3 linked regions of the Oryzias latipes genome follow. Each later gene encodes a partner of the first gene's protein in a complex. Links are inferred from orthologs where the notes say so. Each region holds a gene or a part of one and is shown in the gene's direction. Other genes may lie near its edges. The genes, in order: nup205, nup188 and nup107.

The links.
Region 2: nup205 (region 1) and nup188 share a complex: the UniProt entries of both Homo sapiens proteins name them as parts of the nuclear pore complex. The link is inferred for Oryzias latipes from reciprocal best matches to the Homo sapiens genes NUP205 and NUP188.
Region 3: the proteins of nup205 (region 1) and nup107 are in contact, whole or in part, in a cryo-EM structure (PDB 7WB4), measured with the Xenopus laevis proteins. The link is inferred for Oryzias latipes from reciprocal best matches to the Homo sapiens genes NUP205 and NUP107. Residues at the interface, in XP_041443600.1 of Xenopus laevis: Gly1247, Gln1248, Arg1249, Pro1250, Ser1458, Arg1506, Gln1507, Leu1983, His1991, Gln1995; in NP_001091312.1 of Xenopus laevis: Gln134, Glu136, Pro189, Tyr282, Tyr283, Gln770, Ser772, Phe773, Thr774.

Annotation. Positions count from the first base shown.
Region 1 is NC_019864.2:29,315,493-29,319,734, forward strand, and holds the start of nup205 (nuclear pore complex protein Nup205), read left to right. Parts: upstream 1-1,600; 5' UTR 1,601-1,676; coding exon 1,677-1,704; intron 1,705-3,573; coding exon 3,574-3,716; intron 3,717-3,894; coding exon 3,895-4,066; intron 4,067-4,242. Other genes in the region: agk (acylglycerol kinase, mitochondrial), read right to left, coding at 1-65, 142-236, 321-446, 540-615, 699-778, 854-893, 982-1,091. UniProt on the Homo sapiens protein: Plays a role in the nuclear pore complex (NPC) assembly and/or maintenance. May anchor NUP62 and other nucleoporins, but not NUP153 and TPR, to the NPC.
Region 2 is NC_019870.2:8,138,728-8,142,869, forward strand, and holds part of nup188 (nucleoporin NUP188 homolog), read left to right. Parts: intron 1-170; coding exon 171-290; intron 291-373; coding exon 374-585; intron 586-1,085; coding exon 1,086-1,200; intron 1,201-1,288; coding exon 1,289-1,489; intron 1,490-3,953; coding exon 3,954-4,034; intron 4,035-4,113; coding exon 4,114-4,142. UniProt on the Homo sapiens protein: Component of the nuclear pore complex (NPC), a complex required for the trafficking across the nuclear envelope. Required for proper protein transport into the nucleus.
Region 3 is NC_019881.2:22,230,525-22,234,721, reverse strand, and holds the start of nup107 (nuclear pore complex protein Nup107), read left to right. Parts: upstream 1-1,272; 5' UTR 1,273-1,367; coding exon 1,368-1,375; intron 1,376-3,062; coding exon 3,063-3,142; intron 3,143-3,241; coding exon 3,242-3,337; intron 3,338-3,406; coding exon 3,407-3,501; intron 3,502-3,579; coding exon 3,580-3,715; intron 3,716-3,975; coding exon 3,976-4,079; intron 4,080-4,152; coding exon 4,153-4,197. UniProt on the Homo sapiens protein: Plays a role in the nuclear pore complex (NPC) assembly and/or maintenance. Required for the assembly of peripheral proteins into the NPC. May anchor NUP62 to the NPC. Involved in nephrogenesis.

The DNA of each region.
Region 1 (4,242 bases):
TTTGCAGCACATCCAGAGGTACAGTTTCTCCTCTCAGAATCGACAGTGTGGCTGAAGTAATGTCCCTAAAAAGTATGTTTATCACATCAAATACAAGTTCATTTTAAACATTTTAAAAAGAGATTTTTGTTTTCAACTTACTTAACTTTGTTGTCGCTGAGGAGATGAAGACTCGGACTCAGGGAATTGTGAGAACCCAGAGGAATGTACCCAATCGGGACGTTACTAAAACTATCCTGCAGTCAGAAAACATATCTCAGTTTGCATCTTATAAATAAACCTAAAAACATTTATGTAATTACATTATTAGTTTTGCATACTTGATCCGGCCTTCTCAGCAAACCTGTGATGACCTCCTGCAAGGTGCCATCTCCTCCAGCCACGATCAGCATGTCTGTCTGCTCCAACAACTCCATCAGTTTTTTGGCCTGACCTTCATAATCTGTCTGTGGAGGACATGATATGACATTCAGCAAGGCATGATGGGATATTTGAGGATTTCTACCTACCAAAGCCATGTTTACAAAATTCCATCAAACCTTCACTATTTTTATCTCCACACCGGCCAGGTGTAAAATTGGAGCTGCATTCTTTTCGAATAATTTGTTGGCTTTCCTGGAGAAAATTATAACAAATAAATGCATAATTAGTAGGAGGGAAAGGAAGAAATCAGATTTGCATTTTTGACGTCTTCTTACCCGCTGCAAGCTGCAGGATTTAAAATTACAGTTGCTTTCTTTAGTTGCTCCTGTGGGGCAATCTGTTGCCGTCCAAATTCCTAGAATAGCAATAATTATTAGAGGCATACTCACATGAAATAATAATAATAAAAGGACAGTTAGTTCACATTTACCCTGGCCAACTGACAAGCTTCTCTGCGCAGGAGACTGTCGCTAGAAACACATAAAACACAGAATAAAGAAAGAGCTACACACGTGAACCCAGTTTGGATGACATTTTCAAAGATAAATAAAAACTCACCAATGTTTACCATACAACCAATACCCCCCATAGGACAGGACGCACACAGCTAAAGTGGACTTTTTCCAGTGATTCCGTATCGTCTTAAATACTTCTACAACCCGAGCCATGATTATTAATCCCCACAAAAAAACAGTCTACCTCTGTCACATACTCAAAATGCAAAGATTCTGACGATTTAAAGTGTTTTTGTGACAGCGGTCAAAACTCACACTGCGTGGAAGGAGTGGTGTAACAATACAATCGTTCCGTCTAAAACAAGGCGGAAATAATATCTACACATCTAAAGCGGTCGCTTTTTAAATAAAAAATATGAGCTTATTTTTGCATATTACCATTAACTATTAATTAAACAATACAAGTTCACAAAATATGAATATATGTAAGATGTTTTCCTTGATTTCATTTTTGAAATTGTAGTGTTCACACACTTCATTATATACTACAACTCCCACAGGGCACGGTTGCCCAAATCTTTCCGAGGACCCCGCCTGCACTAATAGTACAATCCTATTTTAAAATATTTAATGAATATTTTACAGGAAAAAAATGTGTTTGATTACATAAATTTTAAATGATGAGTGACATAATCAACAAATTAAAAATATATCTTCTGGATTAAACAATTTATCGTGTTAGATTTCAAACGGGCACATGCGCAGCATCTTACGTCCAGGTTTGATCCTGAGCTGATCATGGCGGGGCAGATGGCGGTAAATTTAGGTAAAGACTCTTTTTGAACCTTTGATTACAAATGTGTTTGTTTTAATTATTATTTAGGTGTAGGTTCGTGTAACCTTGTCCGGCGTTTCTGTTGTAGCGCGTTTTTACCCGTTTGAGTCATTCCAAGTATGGCACTGTTTGCTACTTTAGCCTAGCTTCGTTCATCATCATGTCAGGCCAAAGGAAGCTAGTTTGACTCAGGTTCTAGTCAAGTTAAGACAGATCGAGGCCATAAGACAGACTTGTGGCGACCGGGAATGTTCAGTTAATTAAAGTTATAAGAAAATGACAATAATTAAAGTCCATCAATTAAAAAATTCAGTCCAATATTGCGACTTAATTCAATTTGTATTCATGTGAAAATAAACGTCTCATGGATGGATTATATGCCAAAATATGCTGGCAAATTAGTTATGTTCATAATCTCTAAACTAATAAGTTTAAACTCTTGCTATGCATTGAAAAAGGTTTATCAGTTTTTCTGCTCATCAAAATATATAAATATTCAAGTGATCATTCATTATTAATTCTAAATATTAGATAAAGACTCTTGCATTATGGAAACTGAAAGATTCAGGGCAGATAGTTGATAAAATTAGTCATTTTCTCTTCAAACTAAAGCTTTGAGAAGCAAGTGGCTTTTTCTGAAGACCTATATGTTCTGTAAAAAGAAAAGTCTGAGACCGTGACATGTATGTAAGGTTTGTGTTAAAATGAGAGATTCAAGAATGAAATTAATCTGATTGGGCAGGAAGATGTTTGTTTTATTAAACTTGTTATGTTTTTTTAAATCCTACATTAGGGGTGTGTATCTTTTTCTCTGACATGATTTGATACGCTTCTCAATACATGGTCCAGCCCAATACTTTTACCCAAATGGATACAATCTAGATATATTTTACGCTTTTGGCGTTTAAAACCGTAAATTAAAATGTCTTTTAACAGAGAAACGGTTTTTCCCTAACTGGGAATTTTATTTTAAGGGAGAAAAAATCTAAATGTCTTTGATGTAGCAAGTTTAAACATTCTTTTATACTGTTTTTTTTTCTGTGTCTCATTTTAATTTGTTCAGGCATCATTTAAAGGGGAAAAAGGGTTTATCCTATGTTTAGTGCAAACACCTGGCATGCCTTGCTGGGGCCAGTTGGAATAAAGCCAAACTTTATCAGAGAAACAAAGTTTACCTGAAACGGATCATTTACTTCCTGATCGAATTGATCGACTTTTTACCATCTTAATCGTGTTCTTAGCTGTGGTTTTGTGATCCTCTGGGTTTTTTTTTTCATCCCTTTTTTTTTTTTTAACGAAGATTTACTGTCATGATCTCTGAAGGGAGCAGGTAAAAGGAAAAAGATGGATTTTCTGAGGTTGTCTCTGCTGGAGGTTTCCGCCTACTTTTCCCCTAAGAGCAGGCTTTCCTCTCCACGGTTGAAACCCTTTAAATAGTGTGTGTTGGCCACTCATTTAGGCTGCCATTAAAATTCTAACAGGACAAATAGACTTTTTTCAACATAATCAGGATTAAATTGGATGGAAATCAAATCAAACTGTATTTATTAAAAAGCGCTTCTCATACATTGCGGAACTCAAAGTGCTTTAAAATTTATGATTTGGAATTACTTTGATTTGTTTTGTCCTTTATTTTTTGACTAAATATCAAGACTTTTTTTTTTCTTCTGACCACCATATCAAGCAAATGAAGCCCAAACGTGGACATTATTCCTGCTCAATCTGGGTTGTTCCTGCATCTTAGTTTGTGGGGGTGACAGTTTAGGAGGGTGTTGATATGGAGAGAACTCAAACATCTCGTCAGTAGAGTGAAAAATAATTGTGAAAATATCTGTGTAAACGTCCTTTTGACCCCTTCAGGAGCCAGTCTGTGGGGGCCACTCAAAGAGCTCTGGGAGACTGTAGATGGAGCTATCCTGAGGAGACAGACGGAGAGTGTCCACCTGTTGGACCTGCAGCTGAAAAAGCACAAACCACACTTTCTCTCACTCTTCAGGAACCCGGTGAGATAACCTGCTAACATTTCTTTATCGTATGCCCTAAAAGCAGGTTGTTATTTTAAATAAGAACATGTTCTTAATAGCTTACTTGGTTAAATAAAGGTTATATTTAAATAAAAAAGCCCAGTGTGAGTTCTAAGACACCTTTTCGTTTTTTTTTTGTCTTTTCATTCTTTCTTAGCCAAAAAGTACAGACCAAAAAGAGAAGGTACGCAAAGCCAGCACAGAAGGCATCGCCATCCAGGGTCAGCAGGGGTCGCGGCTCCTTCCCGAGCAGCTTCTGACGGAGGCCTTCATCCTCAGCGATCTCTTTGACATTGGGGAGATGGCAGCCTTGGAGCTTCTCTTGACAGGTAGTTTGACTTTGAAAAAAAATAAAAGAAGAAGAAATTACCTGAGAGCAAACCTGTAAATACAAGCTTTGTGACATAGAAATTGGTTGTCTTGAGTATTCATTTTCATACTGGACCGTTTAGGACTCTTTATAATGGCATTCATAATCCGCCGCATGGGGCTTTGGAAGATGGAA
Region 2 (4,142 bases), on another chromosome or scaffold:
TGAGTGCTTTCTTTTCTTTGTATTTAAAAGTTTGGTTGTGGAACTTCTTTTATTGTGTGGATTTCAAGTCCAGATGCCATGATTCGACTTTAAGATGTCACCTGGATGAGTGAGAGCCTTCATGGACGACGTCTGTTATTGAATCAGCTCTTGTGTTTGTTTCTGTCAAGGCTGAGTACAGTAACTGTGTCAACAAACTGGAGAAGGACTTGGTAGGCAACTGCCAGTCACAGTTTGAGGCTTTGTTCAAAGCTGAAGCACCAACCTGGGAAACTCATGGAAACCTGATGGTAATGACACGCATGAGTGTGTTCAGGTGTTAATCAGCTGCTTTCAGGCTGCAGGATTCAGTCTCCATTTTGCTTCTTACTAGACGGAAAGACAGGTGTCACGATGGTTCCTGCGCTGCCTGAAAGAACAGTCTCTGCTGCTGGAGATAATCTTTCTGCACCACGCGTACTTCGAGATGAGTCCTTCTGATCTTCTGAGTTTTACCAAAATGTTCAAAGAACAAGGCTTTGGTTTGAGACAAACCAACAGACACCTGGTGGATAAGAGCATGGATGCACTTGTTGACCGGATTGGGTAAGTGTAAAAGAGGTCAGGTAGTATTTTTGACTTTTTTTTCTTTGAGGATTTTTGAGTTCTTAGACCTAATCTTAATATTTTAGTTATAAATGTGGTTTAAACTTGAATTACTTTAAATTTACTGGTATAGATGACTTTTTTAGCACGTAATCTTTCATAATCATCAGTCAAAAGACTCTTCTGTTTATGTCAGGGTGAGTGACAAAGGTCACATGAGGATGTATGTATGTAAACATTTATCCAAAGTAACTTGACAGACAAAACAAGCTAATAATGACATAACCTTAAACAAAAACTAATCCTATCAGTCAGTGGTCCTGCTAATGGAGGCGCTGCTCTGGACCACCCAAGCAGTTTATTCCTGTCTGTGTTAAAGAACCGACCAATTTATGCTTTTTTTTTTAAATCAATTTATTTTATATATTTCTACACCAGTTTAATAGATTATTTGTGAATACTTTTCTAGGCAGACAAACGTGTGTGTTTCTGTCTCTCAGGTATTTAAGCTGCCTCATCCTGGTTGAAGGAATGGACGTAGACTTCCTGCACAAGTGTGCTCTGGAGGATTGTACTCAGCAGCACCAGTTCTCCAGTGCACCCAACATCATTAAGGTTTGATGTTAAAGTGCCCCGCATTGAATGTCCATCAAAAGCTGTGAGAAAGAAAGAAAAAGAAAAAAAAAAAATGCTTCTGCTTCAGGAAATGGATCAGCTTCTGCTGACGTTTGGTGACATCCCTCATCACGGGCCTGTGCTGTTAGCCTGGGTCCTGCTAAGACACACGCTGAGGCCGGACGAGTCCAGCCCCGTGGTCAGGAGGATCGGCCACACAGCCCTGCAGCTGGAGGTGTTCAAGTACCTGTCCAGCATGCTGAAAGGCCTCGGAGTCTTGGGGAATAATGTATGTAAACAATAATATGCACATATTTGAGATGGAAAAGGATAAAGTAGTCTCACTCTTATGAATCTTAAGGAAATAAAAATATTTTTTGTCTACATGTAAAAATATCAGATTACAATATTAAACTTAATTTCATCTTTTATATGTATTTACATAAAGACCGGTTTCTTTTGGTGAGCTTTATTTTTATTTATGAGCACAGAACAACTAGTATGGGATCAAATCCGGATCTGCTTAAAGTGAAGGAAACCCAGATTGTAAAACTTTAAAAATAGATGTCAAAAAAGTCAAAAGTTTTAAACTTAAAAGTACGCATTCCATCCATCCATCTTCCTCCGCTTATCCGGGACCGGGTCGCGGGGGCAGCAGACTGAGCAGAGATGCCCAGACTTCCCTCACCCCAGCCACTTCCTCCAGCTCCTCTGGGGGGACCCCGAGGCGTTCCCAGGCCAGCCGAGAGACGTAGTCTCTCCAGCGTGTCCTGGGTCTTCCCCGGGGCCTCCACCCAGTGGGACATGCCCGGAACACCTCTCCAGGGAGGCGTCCAGGGGGCATCCGGACTAGATGCCCGAGCCACCTCAGCTGGCTCCTTTCGATGTGGAGGAGAAGCGGTTCTACTCCGAGCTCCCCGCGGGTGACCGAGCTTCTCACCCTATCTCTAAGGGAGCGCCCAGCCACCCTACGGAGGAAGCTCATTTCAGCCGCTTGTATTCGGGACCTCGTTCTTTCGGTCATGACCCATAGCTCATGACCATAGGTGAGTATTGGAACGTAGATCGACCGGTAAATTGAGAGCTTTGCTTTTCGGCTCAGCTCTCTCTTCACCACAACGGACCGATAGAGCGACCGCATAACTACGGACGCCGCTCCGATCCGCCTGTCAATCTCACGCTCCGATCTTCCCTCACTCGTGAACAAGACCCCAAGATATTTAAACTCCTCCACCTGGGGCAAGGACACTCCACCGACCGAGAGATGGCAAACTACCTTTCTCCGGTCAAGGACCATGGCCTCAGATTTAACGGTGCTGACCCTCATCCCAGCCGCTTCACACTCGGCCGCAAACCGCCCCAATGCACGCTGGAGGTCCCGGTTCGATGAAGCCAACAGGACAACATCATCTGCAAAAAGCAGAGAGGAAATCCTGTGGTCCCCAAACCAGATCCCTTCCGGCCCCTGGCTGCCCCTAGAAATTCTGTCCATAAAAACAATGAACAGAACCGGTGATAAAGGGCAGCCCTGCCGGAGTCCAACGTGGACCGGGAACAGGTCTGACTTACTGCCGGCTATGCGAACCAAGCTCCTACTCCGGTCATACAGAGACCGGACAGCCCTCAGTAAGGCTCCCCGGACCCCATACTCCCAGAGCACCCCCCACAGGATGCCACGGGGGACGCGGTCGAACGCCTTCTCCAAATCCACAAAACACATATGGACTGGATGAGCGAACTCCCACAATCCCTCCAGCACCCTAGATAGGGTGTAGAGCTGGTCCACTGTTCCACGACCAGGACGGAAACCGCACTGTTGTTCCTGAATCCGAGGTTCGACTATCGGACGCACCAAAAGTACGCATTGAAAATTTGAAAGAAATATTTATGATTTCAATAAATAATTGTAAATTTTAAGCAAAAGTGTTTTCTAAATTTTCTTAACTTAAAATGTGAAAAAAGTATATTTGAAACTTGAATTAACAAAAACTATAAACTTATATACTGTACAGTTTATAGCACTGTTTACTATAAACTGTTACCAAAGGAAAATAATATTTATTTGCAACAGCTGCTATTTTGTACTTCCAATGTTTTTTTGTTTTCTTAGTTCTCCATTTACAGTTGTAATTCAGATTTTTCGCTTTTGGTATTGGCCCCCTAGTTCTATGTGGGGGGAGTGGAGCTTTAAGTCCATTATCTTCTGGGACATGATGGACATCAGATCAGACATCAGACATAGTCTGATAGAGGTTTGGTGACATCATTTCCCCTCCCAAACAGCGTTTGTTCTTGGTCACTCCTCTAATGCTGCGTACAGTTTTGAGAACGCCCTCTCAAAGTTTGGCACCAATTTGTTTTTTAAGTTTACAATGTGCCCCTTTCCAGTTTAGATCTGTTTTAAAATAAAAAAAATAATGTACAATCTTTTTTTTTCACTTTGAGATGATTTGACCCCATAAACTTGTACAAACAAAATCATTTGAATAAATTGGAACAATTTAAAAGAAATCTTATGGCAGAAAGAGGTTTGATCTGCTTTCATTTTCTCACAACCTTTACATTTCTCTACTTTTATAGAACTGTTTATTGTGATAAGTTTGTCTGCTTGTGCAAATAACAAATAGAAAATCTAAATAACGGTTCATTTCTGGGAAAATCTTTCTCCATCAAGGTCTCCCATGGTTTAAAATGCATGACTTGTTTACAGGAGCGTTTCAATAAATGTTATTTTTTTGTCTTTTGCTCTTCAGTGTACAGCAAGTACAGCAAGGATGTGCATCTACGGCCTCCTGTCATTTGTTATCACTTCATTTGAGGAGGAAAGCTTACAGGTATAACCTAAATTCATAGACATATATGAACATCTGTGACCCGCGTCTGTGACTGAACTGTCCGCTGTGCGCTTTACAGATTGATGGCGTGTCAACTCAGTCCTCCCA
Region 3 (4,197 bases), on another chromosome or scaffold:
TCAAACAAATGCAGAAGAACGCGGTTCTTTTATTCTGAAATCCCGCACCAGAGTCTGATCTGCGGGGTCCAGGTTCAAATCTGCGACCATCTGATGAATGACCTCTCTGTGCGGCCGTCGCCTCCAATCCTGCCACGCAGTGGGAAAAGTTTACCTGGGGTCTCCATCTTCCCCCGGGTCAAACAGACCCTCTGGCAGCGCTGGGGATCCGCCGGCGGGGGTCGATCCGGCCTCTTAGGTGACCAGGACCCGCTGCTGACCGTGAGAATCTCCTTTTCCGGTTCTCTGAACGGCGGAGATCTCCTTTTAACCGGACCACGAAGCGTCCGGTGTTCCTGCTTTAGCTGAGCTGCGTGAATCGATCACGCAACAGCGGCAGCTAACGGAGCGGAGGGCAGAGCACAAAGATGGTCTATTAGGAAAGACGTCTCACTCCGACCACAGCCGGGAATTGACAAGGGAAAAAACTCCTAATACATCCTTTTAAAAGCGTTTATCCGACACAATTCAACTTCTATGTAGGGAACATAAAGTGTATCTTAATGTATAAAAATATTTTTCAACATGTTTTTTTAAACGGAATTTTCAAATAATACACAATCTTTGAAATCAGACGTATTGAAACATTTTCCTTCCTGACATTACAATGTTCACTCTTGTTAAAAAAGACCCTTTTTTCTAAAAACTTCCTGTTTATTTAATATCAAAATTAGGCACAACTTTAAAGTCATTTAAAAAAAATGCAGGACAACTATTTGATTTGATTTAGATCAAATGCATCATATCATATGGTTAATGTGTTCTTTGTCATTCTGTTCTCTGGATGGAAGTTCAAATAACATCAGCTATTAAAATACAAGTTTAAACAGTTTGGAGTGTTTAAGAAAACCTTTTGTAACATAAAATCTGTACAACACACAAGGAACTCTGTCTTTCAGCAGCTGAACAGGCCAAAGAAATGAATGACTGAATAATCACTTAAAATGTAAATATGACACAATTACACAAATGTGAACTTTTTTAATCAAATAGTGGATCTGAATATCTATTTAACTAAATGAATAAATCTAAAAAACACAAAAAGGCAAATTGATACACAAAATTACAAATAATAGGATTACTGAAAGAAAAGTGAAAATTAAAAGATATGTATATGCTTAATTAATATTTAAATTAATATTTATATTGTCTTTTTTATTTCGTCCTCTCAAAAATAGATGTAATCTAATGGTGAACTCTAGGGGGCAGCAGTCAGCTGACAGGCCTGACAGATTTACCTTAAATTCAAAGGCAGATTCGTGAGAAGAGGCGAAGAAGTAAAAGACCAGAGAAGAAGAAAACATATCGGAGCGGGAATCGGCTCCAGCATGGACTGGTAAAACATTTTAAATTTTTGTGTCATTAATGTGACCAGCTGTGAAACACTGATACGTTCACATTTGTACGGTTCGATCGGTCAGTTTTTGCGTTTTTGTTGTCTCCGGGAAACGTTACAAGAGTCAGATTAGCAAACGATGCTAGCATCAAGCTAATCAGTCAGCTGAATGTCATGACGTCTGTTTAGTCAAAAATAATGAATGATAGGTTTAAAGACCCACTTAGGTTAAATTCTGATCTATTTTCAAAGCGTTCCCAGTGTTTTTATTTTTTTGATTGTGCTGTTTTTTTAGCCAAAAGACAAACACTTGTCGTTCTTGGACACAGTTATACTAGTAGTAGTATGTTCTTCTGCAGAGCGGCAGGAGTTAATTAAACTCCCTCAACTCAGGTGTACTAATGATTAGTACACCTGAGTTACACCTAACCCCACCCCCTTCCCGTCACCCATATTTGAGATCTCTCAGTTGTACAGTTTTGATCCAGATTCCAGCTCAGACGTGGAAAACAAAAACGTTCATGGATCAATTTTTGTCGGCAAATGGATTAAATTCAATTCAATTCAATTTTAAGGGGAAAACTCCCATAAAAACGGATTCCGGAAAAACGAAGAAACCTCAGGGGTGTCCACATGAAGGAGGGATCCTCCCCCAGGACGGACAGGCGATTTACCAGAACTCTTAGAGAAGAATTTACTTATCTAAATCTACAACTACACATTTAAAGTCCAGCAGACGAGCTTCATCCAGCCGTGGTTGGGGGGACAGTCAAAGGCGCGAGTCGAGTCAGAGGCAGGATCCACAGCCAGGTGTAGGAGCAGGAGCAAAGGCGAGGTAGACGGTCAGCAATTGGAGCACGGATGATCCAACTGGAGTCTGGAAGCACTCCCACTCCCCAGGAGGGGAGAGGAAAAGAGTGACAATACATGAATCACACTGCACCAAACAGAGGCATGGAGAACTAAATGATGAATAATGATCAAGAATAGAGGAGAGGAAGGGTAGAAGTAGAAGAGAAAAGAGGACAGAACCCCAGTGCACCATAGTTACCCCAGCTTCAACTTCTAGCAGCCTTTTAAAAGAAAGTTATTAAGTTTAATTTAAACAAATTAACATTAAGTTAAATAATCTCTGAATACTAACTAGTCTGACAATAAGCCTGTCCAAAGAGGAATGTTTTAAGTCTAACTTTGACTGTAGAAACTGAGTCGGCCTCTCTTCCATGAGCTGGGAGTTTATTCCATAAGACAGGGGCTTGGTGGCTAAACGCTCTACCTCCAACCGTACTTTTACTAATTCTAGGAACCACAAGCAGTCCTGCGTTTTGCGAACGAAGTGTTCTGATTGGGTGGTAAGGAACTATGAGATCTTTGATTTAGGACGGGGCCATTCCATGTAAGGCCTTATAGGTTAACAGGAGGATCTTGAACTTGATTCTATAATCAACTGGGAGCCAATGGAGCGAAACCAACACAGGAGTGATGTGATCTCTTGCATTCTCTTGCATTGGATGCATCAGAATGGAACTTGTGGCCCCAAACGGCATATTTGCTACATGATATTTATTATCTTTTTCATTTGGCGCTTTTTCGTCTGTTCCTGATTCACATTGAAATGAAACTAGGAGAAAATTGGCTTTTCAAGTAAGATAATGTATGTTTCTGTTTTGATCTCTCTGACCTCCAGGGGTCAGAATGAGCTTCCGTCTCCGGTGGTTCGAGAGGAGGAGGTGACGGTCGCAGCCAGGAGGAGGAAGAAAGTGGCTTGTATCCTCCAGCTTCAGTAGCTGTGTGTGTTTCTGTGCGTCTGTGTGTACAGTTATATGTCGGGACAGTTTCTTTGTTTCTCCTGACTCTTGGCCTCAGTCCCGTCACCCAGTGGTGGCAGCCCCATCGCTTCTGCTGCAACACCAGCCCGCCCCCACCTGATCAACACTCCTGCCTCGTTGTTCAGGCAGGCCGGTGAGATGCTCACATTCATGTCAGATCTGAGGCTTTGAGCTATTCCTACCTCATGTCTCTGCCTCTCAGTCACCCCCAGGGTTCCAGCCACTTCTTCTCTTTTGGTTCCTGGAGGTCGAACGCCTCGATTCATGCACACGCCCAGAAACGCGCTCAGCAGTCTGGTGAGACCCTGATTAATGTGCAGGGACAGCCGGGATCAGCTGCAGTCTGTAACTCAAACCCGTCCATTGCGTATCTAGAATTTGGACGACAGCGATTGGACCAACAGCTTTTACACCTCGCCCGTGTCTGGACTGGAGAACACCAGCTTCTTCAAAGACGATGCTGCCAACCTGAGCTCAGCCCTGCTCAAGGAGGACGATCCAGGAGATGCAGGTGAGGAAAACAAACCACTTTCATGCCTTCACATCACACGCCAATCGGGTGTCAAATTCGCTGCTCGAAGCTTGTCCTAAAATGTGTTTTTAAACCTGATGTGAAATTATGATGTGATGACAGTAAAAGACTGAATAATTGATGAGAAACGAAAAAGCCTCATTGTTGTTTGAGCAGCATCTCCAGGTACATTTCCCTCTAAAGAAGAAAGCGTATCATTTTTTAATAACCAACCTCTCCTGACTTTGCTTTCTCTGCAGCAGCTGCAAGTCTTTTCCCAGAATTCCTTGCCTCCTTTCTGAAGCACTCTTCCTCTGCGGTGTTTGACCTGTTGGAGGATTATCAGAGCCTCTGCCAGGAGAAGGTAGAGTAGAGCGATGCCTTTGAGCAGATCAGGTTCTGGACGTCACGCTGAGCGGCTCTGCGTCATGTTTTAGGTGAACGTTCTCCAGTCTGTGGTTCTGAGAGCCGGTCAGAACAGT